Macaca mulatta: one gene and its partner. The protein of the gene in region 1 interacts with the protein of each later gene in a biochemical or structural test. Links are inferred from orthologs where the notes say so. Each region holds a gene or a part of one and is shown on either strand. Other genes may lie near its edges. The genes, in order: ATP7B and ATOX1.

Evidence for each region.
Region 2: the proteins of ATP7B (region 1) and ATOX1 form a complex in vitro, tested with the Homo sapiens proteins (3 studies listed by BioGRID and IntAct). The link is inferred for Macaca mulatta from reciprocal best matches to the Homo sapiens genes ATP7B and ATOX1.

The regions. Positions count from the first base shown.
Region 1 is NC_133422.1:31,167,028-31,174,359, forward strand, and holds the end of ATP7B (copper-transporting ATPase 2), read right to left. Parts: intron 7,051-7,332; coding exon 6,908-7,050; intron 5,558-6,907; coding exon 5,354-5,557; intron 5,272-5,353; coding exon 5,154-5,271; intron 3,572-5,153; coding exon 3,469-3,571; intron 2,904-3,468; coding exon 2,630-2,903; 3' UTR 585-2,629; downstream 1-584. UniProt on the Homo sapiens protein: Copper ion transmembrane transporter involved in the export of copper out of the cells. It is involved in copper homeostasis in the liver, where it ensures the efflux of copper from hepatocytes into the bile in response to copper overload.
Region 2 is NC_133411.1:160,686,826-160,694,664, reverse strand, and holds the start of ATOX1 (copper transport protein ATOX1), read left to right. Parts: upstream 1-2,576; 5' UTR 2,577-2,657; coding exon 2,658-2,663; intron 2,664-7,839. UniProt on the Homo sapiens protein: Binds and deliver cytosolic copper to the copper ATPase proteins. May be important in cellular antioxidant defense.

The DNA of each region.
Region 1 (7,332 bases):
ATTCTCCTGGCATAACTATTCATAGTGTCTCCTTCCGCTCTTCAAAGTGTCCTGGTGTGGGTGAAGATTACACTGTCAACTCCCTTCAGGTGTGGCTCACTTACACCTCCCGGCCACCCCAAGATGCCCACAGAGCTTTCCCAGCAGAGCCCACTAGTCAAGATTTTTCTGCTCCTCCTCCTGACCCACTCCCTCAAGACCAAGGAACCCCAAACATAACCCTCCTGATTAAGATGTGTTTGAGAACAGCCTTTTGCAGACACTCACCCTAGAACAGAGGGGTGCAAACGATGCAGTAATTCAAGCCCGCATCCAACCCAGGAGGGCAGGGACTTTGACAGGAGCTGCCTTTCAGCGTTCTCCCCACACGCCACTGAGGCAGGCCTGCATTAGAGAAATGGACTTACACCAGTGCTGGGGATGGCAGATCAAGGGGGCTCTGCCCACCCTCATGTCCCCTGCTGTTAAAATCCCATCCTTCTCTGCCCCCTAAAAAGACATCAAGCCAAGCCAGTGCCTCACAGAAGCCCTCATGACGACAGGATGGCACTGGCCTCTGACCACGCATCTCACTCACAGGCAGATTTTGAGAGGAATGACAAGAACTTTATTCTAATATTGCATGAAATGTTTTTGAAGTAGAAATGGTTATCTGACAAAAAAATTCCTTACACTTTGACCATCTAAAAGGTTATTTTCTATAAAATTATATAAATATTTCCATGTCCATATAGGAACACAACGTTTATGGTCCTATAAGTTTTAAAAATCAACAGAATTAGATTCTTTAGATAATGATCAGCCTAGTCAGAAAACAACATTCCCCAAGCAAGCATAAAGAGAGGACACAGTTACTGACGGACAGCGGAAATGTGCTGCGGGCTGGAGTTGGGGGGCTGAAAACAATGAAAACACAATCACTGGGGAGCTTGGATTTTATAAAATAAAACCCCGCAAAAACTATATGTAAAAAGTGAAACTAACCATCCAAGGTGAAGGTCAGATGACCTCCTGAATGAATTGCATTCTGAGTTGAAACAATGAATAGATCACCTGGTAGATTCGTTCTTCCAGGAGGCAAGGACCTTTTCCTTGTTTATTCTTATCAGGAAAACTTCTATTCAAGGTAGAAGGACAATTAGAGTGAAGCCTTCACAGCTGACAGACACGGCTTGTCCACTGGCTATGTCATCCTGGGCAAAGTCCTCAGCCTCTTGGAGCCTGTTTCCTTGCCTGTAAAATGCGGACAGTAATAGCTACCTTGTTGGTTGGCTGGGAAGATTAGAGGTAATCTATCGAAAGTGCTGCTAAAACTGCCCCTGGCAAGTAATGGACACTGAAAAAAGTCACTAAAACTATTTTGTGTGGGAGAAAAGGGTTTCACCCAGAATTTAATCCAACATCTACTAGTTTGCTCCCAAGGGGTTCTGTCAATCACAACCAACTTCAGAGTCTAAAACTGGACCCCTTCTGCTGCTCTGAGAGCCACGGCCAGGTAAACAGATGCTCCCTTCGGGATGCTGTGGCCACTCCTTTCCTGAAGCCCCTGTGCGTGCAGAAGGCAGGCTCAAGGAGGCTGTGCTTTCCTCCTATTTGGGCAGTACCTAATCTCCAAGCCACACAAGGCCAGGTGCTAGTGACATGAATTCTCTATTGAACCCCATGAGGTGACAGTCACACAGAAGACTGAAAACGAAGCTCCTGGGGCCATGCAGGGAGGCTCCTGCACACACATGTCTCCCATGGGACAAACGTTTTGAGCACCACAGGCTGGGCAGGAATATGGAAGGACGTCCTGAATTGCGAGAACCTAGACCCCACAGGAAGCCAAGTCTGGACTCTCAGGTCAGCTGGTCAGCAACAACACTCTACTGAGAAGCCCCCACTCCATGGAGAAGGGGGCTTCAAACAAAAAAAGAACCCTCCTGGACCTGAAGAATGGTGTGGCAAGCTCCCTGACTGGGGATGTGCGAGCCAGGAAGCAGGTTCAAGCTGAAATGCACACTCCAGAGCACTGGAGAAGCGCCTGAGAGCAGCAGCAAGGACCACAAAGACACTGGTCTCGCCCTCCTAGGAGACAGGCAGGGTTCCAAGGGGTCCCCACGGACAAGCACACAGAAGAGAAAAGGAACAGACTGTGCAGGAAGAAAGCAGCAGGCACACCTGAGGTAAACTGTGGTCTCAGAAACATGATGCACACAGACAGGCGTCATCAGAAAGAGCCTGACAGTGAGGTCTGCCGTTCTCTGGAAAGGCCCAGTGAGGTTTTTTGGTCCTGATGAAACTGTTCTCCATTTCATAGCAGTCATCCTAAATACTCCAAGCAGAGGTTTGTGAGGAGGGTGACTCGCCTCTCACCTTCTACAGTACAGCCAAGGACTAGAGGCCAAGACAAAGCCCATCCTGACGGTTCAGTGACGCCAAGAGGCAGGCCAGGCCGTCCTCTCTAGGGCAAGGCCAGTTGCACTCAGACAAGACCACGTGCTGCAGGGCAGGATGACTGGACATATCCAGGGAGTGGAAGTCCCCAAAGCTGGAGGCTAGCTCAGCCCATCCTGCTGCTGGCTGTCCTGCTCAGCTTGTGGCGAGTGGAGGCAAGGCCCTGCCCTGGCCCGCCTGCCTGGTGCCATCAGATGTACTGCTCCTCATCCCTGTCATTCAGGAGCAGAGACCACTTGTCCCCACCATCGTCCGCTGCAGTGCTGTGCCGAGATGGCTTGTCGGATGTCAGGGAGGACAGCGACACCTGGCTGACATAGCTGACCTGGTCCCATGGTGTGGCCCTGGGGGAGTCCCGCCGCCTGTCATCCATGCCGATGTGCACACTGACCTGGGATGCTGTCAGGGGCTTCATGTGGCCATGCGCCTGTGCCTCATACCTCTCCAGGTCAGGCTTCTTATAGCTGGAAAGCAGGAAGGCAACAGCATCTGAGCCATTCTAGAAACAAGGCTCTTTTTTTTCTCAGCCTGGTGAAGGCCTCTCATCTATCTTTTAATAACATTTAGTACCAAAACCTCAAGAGATCCCAAGGAAAAGGATATTAAACTCCCTATGGTTCCAGGAAAGCTCACCTGATTTAGAAACTTCCTAAGCAAATGCCTTGCACATTGTAGGCTGCCACTCACTTTTGTTAAATGAATGCACTCATAAATAAGTGAACATCTTTTTTAAAGAAAAAAAATGATAGATAATACACAGGGACCCATGTCTGCTTGATGTTCACAGTAACAGCCCTTGAGCAGCAGAGTAAGGGCAGCCCAGCATGTGGATGGGCAGCAGTGAATTGCCTGCTCACGGTGCTGATAAGTTACACGCATGCACACCAGGCTCCACGTGGGCTGCCACTGCAGCGTTTGTCCCAGGTGAATGACTGGGGAATGAGAGGCAAGTTCCACTGTTCCCTGAGCGTGCAGAATGACAGGGCCTCCTGGGAGGCTCCAACAGATGCTCCGCCTGAGGGGACTCACCACTTGAGCTGCAGGGATGACAGCACCACAGACACAGAGGAGGCGGCCATGGCCGCTGAGCCCATCCAGGGCTGCAGCACAATGCCGATGGGCATGAAGACACCTGGGGAAGAAAGAATTCGCACTCGCACCTAGGCCTGGGGAGAGGAGCCAGGAGAGGGCCTCAGGCACCGGGCTGGCCCCACCCTCAGTGGCCCCCAGTGAGGTCTCCACCTGGCATGCTCGGAAGCCCCTGCCAATGGATCTTGTTCACAGGCCCCCCAAAGTGAGGCTTCCTAGAAAGCTGGGTGTGGGGTGCTGTCAAGCGGTCCTGGCTCTCTTCCATTTGCCCTGACATTCCCAGAACCACCCACAGGTGGCATCCCATTTCAGGGCGAGCTCCAGGGCAGCGACGAACCAGAGAGTGGGAGGAGCGGGAGGAGAAAAGTGGCAGGAGGTGAGGGAGCCAGCTGCCCATCCTGCAGCCACAGTACCACAGAGGACAAACATGGCTGATGGCCACAGCCCTTGTCTAGCAGATGACCTCGCCTCCAGGGCTTCATGACATCTTTAAAAGAGGAATGAGAGCCAGGTCCCAGGGCAGGGTCAGGAGACAGGTATGGTCAACTTTGTGTGACAGAGGCACACACACTGGGGGAATTAAGCTCCTGAGCCGGCTCTGGGGACAGGAAGTAAACCTGCCTAACTCACTGGGCTCAGGAGGCCAACACCCTGTTACACAAGTCACCACTAACCACTCAGACACAAGGGAGACTGAGGCAGGAATGCTGTGATTACAAACTTGATCTCTCCTCAGCCCATGGAGGGGCACTGCCTTACAGAAGGGTCTGGAACTTTTCACTGCCATGTTCCCAGGGGCAGGGAGCAGGGGGCAGGGGAGAGGCGTTTCTTGGGGAGGGGGAATGAGGGGGAATTACAAAGCAGAAAAATCTATTTCTTTTCTTTTTCTTTTTTCTGAGACAGGGTTTTACTCTTGCCCAGGCTAGAGTACAGTGGTACAATCATGGGTCACTGCCACCTCCAACTCCTGGGCTCAATAAATCCTCCTGCCCCAGCCTCTGTACTCCCAGATGGGACTAAGGTGTATGCTACCATGCCCAGCTAATTTTAAAATTTTTGTAGAGATGAAGTCTCACTATGTTGCCCAGGTGAGTCTTGAACCCCTGAGCTCAAATGGCCCTCCTGCCTCAGCCTCCCAAAGTGTTGGGATTACAGGCATGAGCTACCACGCCTGGCCAAAAAGCCATTTCTTTCCATGATCATTTGTGTAACTCAGAGTGAAACTTGGGCAGGACTAAAGTTCAGGATAAGGTTCTGAAACACCAATAATTGTGCCTAACATGTAGCAAATGCCCCATAATTCTTACTAGTGATTATTTCTCAGACTATATGTCTTAACAAATGGCTCTGAAAATAAGGCCACAGTAAAATAGGGCTCAGAAAATATAGCCAAGCATCTCCACTAGCTTTTTAGAAAGGAACAGAGTGAATGAAGTTTTCAGGTCCTCTTCACAGTTTCTCATTTACCTTTAAAGACATATAAAGCAGGGGACATAAAAAAAACCAGCCTTTCTAAAACATCTCTAGCCAGCCAGTGAGTGAGGCACTCACTAACCTCAGCAGAAACCTGGGAGACAGAAGCCTTTCTGGGCACAGCTGGAGTACAGTGGGTAAAAGCTGCCTACCTGCCGCAATGGGTATCCCAACCAGGTTATAAATCAGTGCCAGGACCAGGTTGATGCGTATCCTCCGGACAATCCTCTTGGAAAGGTGAATGCTAGCCACCACATCCAGCAAATCATTCTGATGGAGAGGAGCACACAGTGAGGAAGGTGTCTGCCCACCACCCTCCCAGTACCCACAGCCTGGCTGCAGCCGTGCTCACTCTGATGAGGACGACGTCGGCTGCCTCGATGGCCACATCCGTGCCGGTGCCAATGGCGACACCCATGTCTGCCTGAGCCAAGGCTGGGGAGTCATTGACCCCATCCCCCACCATGGCGACTCTCTTCCCTTCATTCTGGAGCTCCTGGACCTTGGCCACTTTGTGCGAAGGCAGCACCTCTGCAAAGACTTTGTTGATGCCAACCTAAGACAAAAGAAGGGCAATGCCTGGTGTTGGCAAAAGGTATCAGATAGCAGCAGAAGCCTCAAATTACCCTTGCCCCTCTGCCCTCAGCCTCTGGGTCCAGTCAGTGACGTTTGTCAGCCACACCCTGCAGGTTTGCTGTCACAGGGCCAGTTCATCCCTGGCTCCCGCCCCAACACCCTGTACTGGTTTAGGCCCTGTCCTTTTCTGGATGTGCAAACAACCCCCTTGCTGGTCTCCCTGTCCACAGCTCAGTACCCCAACTTTCTTCTCCATGTGCTGCACCCATGGTCTTCCCAAAGCATCTGTACGGCCATGGGTCCCTACTCTCCTGTCTCATGTCCTCCAGCAGACCCCATGCACCTCCCAGAGGAGGGCAGCTCAACTCTCAGGTCTGCTTCTGAGGTCCCCAGAGTCTCAGGGTCTGGCCGCTGGTGCCACACTTGACCACACCATTCAGCTCCCCGCAGTGTCTCCAAATCGCCGTGCTATTCTGTGCCCCTGGGAAATGCTCCTGCTGCCTGCTCTGTCCTGGAAAGGTGCAGTTTTCCTTTCCTAGCCCCTCTCCCGCTTCTCAGATATACACCGTCACTGGTCCGCCTTCTTGCAAGACTGTGAGCCGAGCCCCCTTCATTCCTCACAGAGCCTGGCCCCGCACCTGCCTGTCACATTCGTGGTGCTTCGTAAGTGCCTGCTGAATGGATGAACAAGTGTTAGCCAGAAAAGGGGGGAAGGACGCTAAACAGGTCCACCATTAGCAAGGAGGACCATGGAAAACAGGGGTATTGCTGCTTCCCTCAAGGAACACAATTAAGCTTTCAGAAGCCTAGAGCTCTGCACACATTTGGAGGTGCATAATTTCTAGGAATCCAAACTGGAGCCACTGCTGTGTGAGGAGTCAGGCAGCCATCCAGTGGTACTGTCCTCACAGGCCAAACAGCCTCAGGGGCTGCTGGAGAACTGCCCAGGACTGAATCACTTATCTGAGCACCCGAGTGAGAAGAGCTGAGCTGGCAAAATCTTCCTTTAACATAAAGGTTAGAAAATGTCTATCTTAGCCCTTAAGCCACATACTTTTTTTCCATTGCCAAGACTGGGAAAAGGTTAGAGAACAATGGAACTCCTTTTTCGAGGATGCATGCACCCAAACCCCAGGAAGAGATCTTCACACGGCACCACAGTGCTCACGTGTGACACTACGTAGCCACAGAATGAAGCACGTGGAGAGAAAAGCATCCAGAGAGGGGGAAAGAGCAGGAGTACAGTTCAGTGCTGGGCCAACTGGTGCTTACTTTTGTCTCTAACTGCTTTTATGAGCTTTACGCAGTTTGCAATATTAAAGGGCTGTACCTGGGTGGCAATGGCTCTGGCTGTCTTCCGGTTGTCCCCGGTGATCAGAACCACGTCCACACCCATGCTTTGCAGCGTGTGCACAGCCAGGGCGGCCTCCTGCTTGACAGCGTCTGCGATAGCAATCATCCCACAGAGCACACCTGGAGTGAACCAGCCGGCATCAGCAGCTACACAGGATGGGCACCCCGCATCAAGACACCACACTTGCAATGTTCTCATCATATAATGTTACGTGCAAAAACCAAAACGCCAAATTATATAACACAATGGGGTTTTTTTGCTTTTTAAAAAGTACATGCATTTACAGACATACAGAAAAGTCTGGAAGCAATATAATTAAAATCTTCACAGTGACTCCCCGAGGAATAGGATTATGAGTGATTTCATTTTCTCCTTTATAGCTGAATTTTCCAAACTTTCTG
Region 2 (7,839 bases), on another chromosome or scaffold:
GAATTAAACTCCCCAGCATCTGTCAAAGAAAGAGTCATCCCAGGAGGCTGGGTCTAGAGGTAGATGATACCAGGAGGAACCCACCATCTATACATACCTACAGTGCGTACATTCCTATCCTCACAACAACACTGTCAGCCAGAAAGGGCAGGGATTCTATATGCCCATTTGCCAGGCTCATTGGCTTAGAGATGGCTCATTGCCTATAATCTCAGCACTTTGGGAGGCCAAGGTGGGCGGATCACAAGGTCTGGCCAACAAGGTCAGGCTGGTTCGAGACCAGCCTGGCCAACATGGTGAAACCTTGTCTCTACTAAAAATACAAAAATTAGCCGGGCAGGGTGGTGCACGCCTATCATCCCAGCTACTTGGGAGGCTGAAGCAGGAGAATTGCTTGAACCCAGGAGGCAGACGTTTCAGTGAGCAAAGATTGCGTCACTGCACTCCAGCCTGGGCGACAGAGCAAGACTCCATCTCGAAGAGGAAAAAAAAAAAAAAAGGCAAGAAAGAAAAGGATTGATATGTACTGTTAAGGAATAATCTTTTTTTTCTTTTTCTTTTCTTTTCTTTTTTTAAAATACAGGGTCACATTCTGTCACCCAGGCTGGAGTGCAGTGGTGTAATTATAGCTCAGTGCAGCCTTGACCTCCTAAGCTCAAGTGATGCTCCCACCTCAGTCTCCTGAGTAGCTGGGACCACAGGCATATGCCACCACACCTGGCTAATTTTTGTGTTTTTTGTAGAGCTGGGGTTTCACCATGTTGCTAGTCTGGTCTTAAACTCCTGGGGTTAAGTGATCCTCCCACCTGGGCCTCTTAAAGCAATGGGATTAGAAGTATGAGCCACTGCACCTGGCCCAGGAATAACCTCTAAGATATTTTATAAAGTGAGAAAAGCAGGGTGCAAAACTGCATATAGTATGCCTTTTGTTTAAGAAGGAGAGGTCAGGGTAGGAGGGAGACCTACTTTTCACTGTATGCTACTTTGTGTTATTTGAAAATTAAACAGTAGGCACATTGGGATTCCACCTGCAAATCCTACACTTATCCAAGGTAACTTCTAGTAACATTGGCTGTAGTTGATTTCAGGCTTATTTTTATGTAAATACACGGAATGTATGTATATCTTTATGCAGGAACTACAGTCTGGCATATTTTCTTCTCTTTAATAGGCCTTTATTTGCGATCTTTAACAGATCTTCATAAAGCTGTCTTCTCTTTAAATTGCTGTCTCTAGGCTTAGCCATACCCCCAACTCCTACCCCTAATTCTCTAAAACATGCCGTGGGTGGCTCGCCCTGTGCACTGTTGCCTTTGGGAAGGATTTCGTTCCCTCATGGCCACCCTCCACCTTCCCTCATGGCAATCTGGCTATCCCTAGCCCCAGTGTAAAGTTGCACCCAGGACTACCAAGATGCTAAGCCTTGCCTCTACAGGACCTAATGTGCCAGCACCCTCCTTCCCTCTCCTCCTCGCCCCCATCCCTTCCATCTTTAGGGAATTCCTGGCAGGTTGGGTAGGGGATGAATGGTTAAGGGGTATTTTGTGAGCAGGGGAAAACCCAGTGCCAGGGAGGCCAACCGAGGGCCTAGCAATTAGAGAATACTTATATATTTTGGTGCCTACCATGTGCCAAGCAATGTGCTTAGAAGTCTGCATACATTACACGTATTCCAACAATACCACAAAGTAGGTTTCCTGGAGGGAACCATGTGTCCTTGTTTGCCTGAAACAGTCATGGTGTTTGCCTGTTGTCCTGGCAAAATTATTAATAGCATCTCCTTTCTCTAGCAAAAGGTTTAGATAAAAAAAATTGTATAGTCACCTTAACTGTCCCCATCTTATACGTGAGGATATTGAGGCTTAGAGAGGTAAGTTCATCTGCCCAGGGTCACACGGCTGGTAAATGATAGAGCTGAGATTAAAACTCTAGTCAGTATGGCTCTGTTAGGGACTGAACTCTGACATGGACATGAATGGTGTTCCCCAAAATTCCTATGTTGATACCCTAACCCCCAATGCGACTGCATTTAGAGACAGAGCCTGTAATAGGGCGATAAAGGCTAACTGAGGTCCAGATTATTGCCTCCTCCCCAGGCCGCCTCTCTTCCACAACCACCCCCACCCCACTGCAGTCAGGGCCCTTCCTCCTCTGCCACGACAGCTCTGCTAACCCGGCACTATCACTGCTTGCGTCCTTCGCAGCCTCCTGCTACATCTTTTACACCGCTGCGTCCTCGTTGGCTGGCGCTCAATAGACATTGACTCGGTGAATAAATGAGTGAAACTGTCCTTTTAGGGATGGATGAATCTGTCCTATTCAAGGCGGTGCCCTTTTCTGGTATTCCCTAACACAAGCTTGACCCGAAGTAGGCGTTCTGAAAAAGGCCGACAGTCGATGGAGGCCAACGCAGCGCTCCTCTCACCTCCTCTCTCCGTCCAGGCCGGGTGACCATAAGCGCGGCCAGCGGAAAGGAGGCGGTGCGGCCGGCAGGGTTGAGGCCCGGAGGGGGCGGGGCCTCCCTCGCGACCTGGCCCGGAGAGGGTGGGGCTTCCGGGAAGGTGCCTCTAGCACGCACTCTCGGAAGCGCAGCCGAACCCGCCCTCCGAGCCCAGAGGCGCTGCTGCCACCGCCGCCCCGCTGCCGCTGCCTTAGTTATGCCGGTGAGTGGTTGCGCCGTGCCCGCCACGCACACTTGCAGTCCCCGGGTTCCTCCTTGGCTGCACAACAGCTTGACCGGATGCTTCTCTTGAAGGGCTCAGCTTACCCCACCCAGCCCCCAGCTTTTGCGACCCTTCAGAAAATGGGATCCGAAGGGAGTTTAATCTAGGAGCCAGGCTTCAAAACGTCGGAGCTGGAAGGCCTCCAGGGGCGACAAGCCCACACCTTTCCTGCGTACACGGAGAAACAGACCCAGAGAGGGGGCAGGGGGTCGCTCAGCAGGACGCGGGGAGTTGGTGGCCAGCGGGAACTGAGACGCCTACTCCCTGAGCCTTCCTCTTGGCTGCCCCGCCCGCTTAGCTGGCCTGAAGGAGGGCGGGAGGCTCTGGGCATGGGGATGGACCCGGTTATTCCCTCACGGACCGGGCAGGTTTTCAGAGGTTCATGATTTTTTCTAAATTTTCCTGCCACTATGGCTTACTTTTCAAATCAGCTCTGGGCGACTCTGAATGGAGACACTTTGTCAGCCTGAACCCATAAGCCCCAGAGAGGTTCAGGAACCCCCCTCAAAGTCACCAGTTGCTCAGTGGCAAGAGTCTGGGAAGTCAGTCTGAGCCTGCCTTTGCAGATCACTCAGTATATTGTTGCTCGTGGTCTCGTTTTTTATATAAAAAAGAATTGAGGGCTTTGACAGATAAAAATATAAAAAACCCAGTAACTTATTCCAGGTCGTGTTGAAGTTGGCAGAGCCAGGATTCAGCTCCTTATCCTTAGGCTCCCCATCTCTCCAGGCCTGACCACATCGGAGGTGCCTGGCAAAAGCAGTCATACCGGCTTGGGAAGATGCTCTGATCTCAGTTGCATCTTGGTTAGGGTCATGTGGTGTTTAGCATTTTCTTCGAGGTGCGTAATTCATGGCTCTGGGCCAGGTGGATATCAAGAGGTATCCCACAGATGCCATGTGTCTTAGCAGCCTGTCCTTTGGGAGCTGACAGGTGAGCCTGACGCCCCCTGGGCAGAGCCACTAACATCTCAGGTGTCATTTCCCTTGGACCTTGCCAGGTGCCTTGAGACAAATCCTCCAACAACAAAGTATGGATAAGGAATCTGACAGAATCAGCCCTACCAGTTGAGCAAGTCAGCCTGTGGCAATGGTAGAAGACAGTATTAATCTCCCTGGGACTTAGAGAGTGAAGGTCACCAGGATTTTTTGTGGGGGGTGGCAGTGAGGAAAAGTCCAGCTTGATCATCAGTGTATTCTGTATCTTCTGGGGATTTTGACAAAAGACCCTCTGGAGCAAATGATGGGAATGAGGAGGGCGCTTGGCACCATGTACCACAAGATGAGCAGCTGAAGGAAGGAGGGTGTTAGTCAAGGGACTGCCTTAAAACTGGAAAGGGAAGAAAAAAACATATATATATGTTAATATGTATATATACTGGGAGACAATGCGAGACTCCGTCTCAAAAAAAGAAAAAAAAATCGTCCCACTTACTTCGCCCAGGCTGATCTTGGCTCACTGCAAGCTCCGCCTCCCGGGTTCACGTCATGCTGCCTCAGCCTCCTGAGTAGCTGGGACTACAGGCACCAGCCACCACGCCCAGCTAATTTTTTTTTGTATTTTTGGTACTGACGGGTTTCACCATGTTAGCCAGGATGGTCTTGATCTCCTGACCTTGTGATCTGCCTGCCTCGGCCTCCCAAGGTGCTGGGATTACAGGCATGAGCCACTGTGCCCGGCCCCCACTTACTGACTTTTAAAACCTACTTTAAAATCTACCCATTTTATAAGTCTTTATGAAAGACCCCAGAGGCCTTGAGGAACCAGAACTACCCAGTTATGCATCCGGTGGTAGAGCCAATCTTGAGCTTCTCCTATAAAGAAGTGATTACTCTGTCCATGAAATAGTTTTTCCATCACCCTCAAATTTATTTTTGCCCCTCAGAGGTGGAGGAGGAGAGCACTGAACTGTAATGTTTATACCCAGCAGCTGATTTCTGACTTCTGACCTTTATACTGTAGGGGATGGGACCTACTCCCTATAATCAGCAACTGAAAGTTTCAGGTATTTGTTGACTTCAGGTCCTTGGGCAGCAAAAAACTGTGCTCCCTAAAAATGTATTTCTAGTTTCGGAGCTTCTGCTGAGAGTCACGGTTATGAGAGCTGGTGGTGTACTTTGCTATTCCAGAACGAGCAGGATTTCCCTGGAGCGAAGAAAGCCTAGGTTCATATTCCATACTCAGTAGGTATTTGCCACATGACTGCAGGCCACTTAGTGAACTCTTGGGAACTTCACTTTCCTCCTGAGTGAAATAAGATAAATAGCTTTCTTTCCAGGCTCAGTGAGGACTAGCTTAGATACTGTATAAAGACAATTTGACATATAATAGACAATCAGTAGATTTAGCTCTTAGGTTGATCTTGCAAACCCTTCCAAACTTTGGCTCAGTATATAAGTGCAAACCATTGATTAATCAATTTTCTGCTGGTTATCCTAGAGCAAGACTCAGCAAATTTTTTTTTACAAGGCCCAGATAGTAAACATTTTAGTCTTCACAAACCACAGGATCTCTGGTACAACTACTCAACCCTGCCATTCTAGTGCAAAAGTAAACAAGTGAGTTTGGCTATGGTTTTTTGTTTTTGATTCTTTTTTTTTTTTTTTTTTTGAGACAGAGTGTTGCTCTCTCGCCAGGCTGGAGTGCAGTGGCATGATCTCGGCTCACTGTAACCTCCGCCTCCCAGGTCAAGTGATTCTCCTGCCTCAGCCTCCTGAGTAGCTGAGATTACAGGCGCACGCCACCGCTACCAGCTAATTTTTGTATTTTTAGTAGAGACGGGGTTTCACCATGTTGGCCAGAATGGTCTCGATCTCTTGACCTCATGATCCTCCTGCCTCTGCCTCCCAAAGTGCTGGGATTACAGGCATGAGCCACCACACCTGGCCTCAGTTTGGCTATGTTTTAACAAAACCTTTTACCTTGTAAAACAGGTAGCTTGTATTGTGCCAATCCATGTTCTAGAGCATCATCATTTTTTTTTTTTTTTTGCAAAACATTTTTTTTTTGTTTTAAATTAAATGGAGCCATGATCTCACTGTATTGCCCAGGCTAGTCTCAAAATCCTGGGTTCAAGTGATCCTCCCATTTCAGCCTCCCAAAGTGTTGGGATTACAGGTGTAAGCCACTGCACCCAGCCTTTAGATTTTTATTTATTTATTTATTTTGAGACAGAGTCCTGCTCTGTTGCCCAGGCTGGAGTGCAGTGGCATGATCTTGGCTCACTGCAGCCTCCGCCTTCTGGGTTCCAGCTATTCTCCTGCCTCAGCCTCCCAAGTAGCTGGGATTACAGGCACCTGCCATTATGCCTGGCTAATTTTTTTCTATTTTTAGTAGAGAGACAGGTTTTACCATGTTGGCCTGACTGGTCTCGAACTCCTGACCTCAGGTGATCTGCCTGCCTCAGCCTCCCAAAGTGTTGAGATTATAGGCATGAGCCACATTGCCCTGCCTAAAAAATTTTTTAATAGAGGAGAGCATCATCTCAACTGTAATGTGGGCAGGAATGACTTGGGTGTCTTGTTAAAATGAGGATTCTGATTCCGGACTTCTGGGAAGGGACCTGAGATTGTGCATTTCTGGCAGGCTGTCAGGTGATGATCGTATTGTTCGGTTGAGGACCACATTTTAAACACAAGATTTTGTAATACCTACTACAAATCATTCTTTCCAGAATTTGTTATTGTTGCTGTCTTTGAATAGTCATGAAACGATGAAAAAATCAGAGATGTTTAGAAGAAAGACTGACCATTTTCTTTAAGGCAGACTTTGCAGATTTGGCCTTAATAAAAGTAGTAGTTTACTAGTCACAAAGGTCATACAGTCTACACTGGAAAATCGAGCTGCTTAACTCTTGGTCTTGGTTTCCTCTGTAGAGCACAATGACAATCCAGACTCAGAGGTGTTTAGAGACTTAGAAAGAGTTTGAGAAGCCACTTAGTCACTTTATTTTCAGGTTTGTAGTTTTGCCTCCCTGTCTCTCCCCAGTAGGTTAAAAATGGGGAGTGGCAGGGCCTGCTCCACATCCACAGAGCCAGTTGAGGCAGGTGTCTGGGAGCTGCACTTTACACAAGGTCCCCAGATTCTTCCTATGCATGCTGAAGTTGAAAAAAAACTGAGTTAGCTAATACCCTTTTGGTATAGATTAGGGAACTAGAGCCCTTCTGGAGCAGAGATTTTGCCTGTGATTTTCTAGCAAGATATATCGCTACACCCAGAATTCCAATTGAGGTAATAGACTTGAAATATTTTGAAGTGCTCCGTGAAAAATGTAGCCATTGATTTTTGAAGGGAAACAGGAGAGACAAATGGAAGAAATTAATAATAACCCAATAGCTAATTTTTTTTTTTTTTTTTTTTGAGACGGAGTCTCGTGCTGTCACCCAGGCTGGAGTGCAGTGGCCGGATCTCAGCTCACTGCAAGCTCCGCCTCCCGGGTTCACGCCATTCTCCTGCCTCAGCCTCCCGAGTAGCTGGGACTACAGGCGCCCGCCACCTCGGCCGGCTAGTTTTTTGTATTTTTTAGTAGAGACGGGGTTTCACCGTGTTAACCAGGATGGTCTCGATCTCCTGACCTTGTGATCCGCCCGTCTCGGCCTCCCAAAGTGCTGGGATTACAGGCTTGAGCCACCGCGCCCGGCCCAACCCAATAGCTAATTTTTTACCCAATGGAACCTAGTACTAGGCTCTAATTTCCTTAATGTATTAGTTATCTGTTTCTCCTTAGTAATTATCCCAAAACTTTGTAGTAAACAACAAATATATTTATAGTAATTCACACAGTTTCTGAGACTCAGGAATTTGGGAACAGCTTGGCCTAGTGGCTCCAGCTCAGAGGCTCTCATAAAGTTGGAGTGAGATGTTAGCTGGAGCTGCATTCATCTGAAGACTTGACTGGAGCTGCAGAATCCAGTTTCGAGATGGCTCACTCACATGCTTGTTAGCTTGAGGGTTGGGTCTCTCACTTTGTGGACCTCTCCTTATGGTTACTTGAATATCTTTATGATTTGGTAGCTGACTTCCTCTAGTGCAAGTGACCCCTGAAAGAGAGCAAGACAGAAGTCACAGTGTCTTTTATGACATTGTGATATCTTCAGAAGGCACATAACCTCACTTC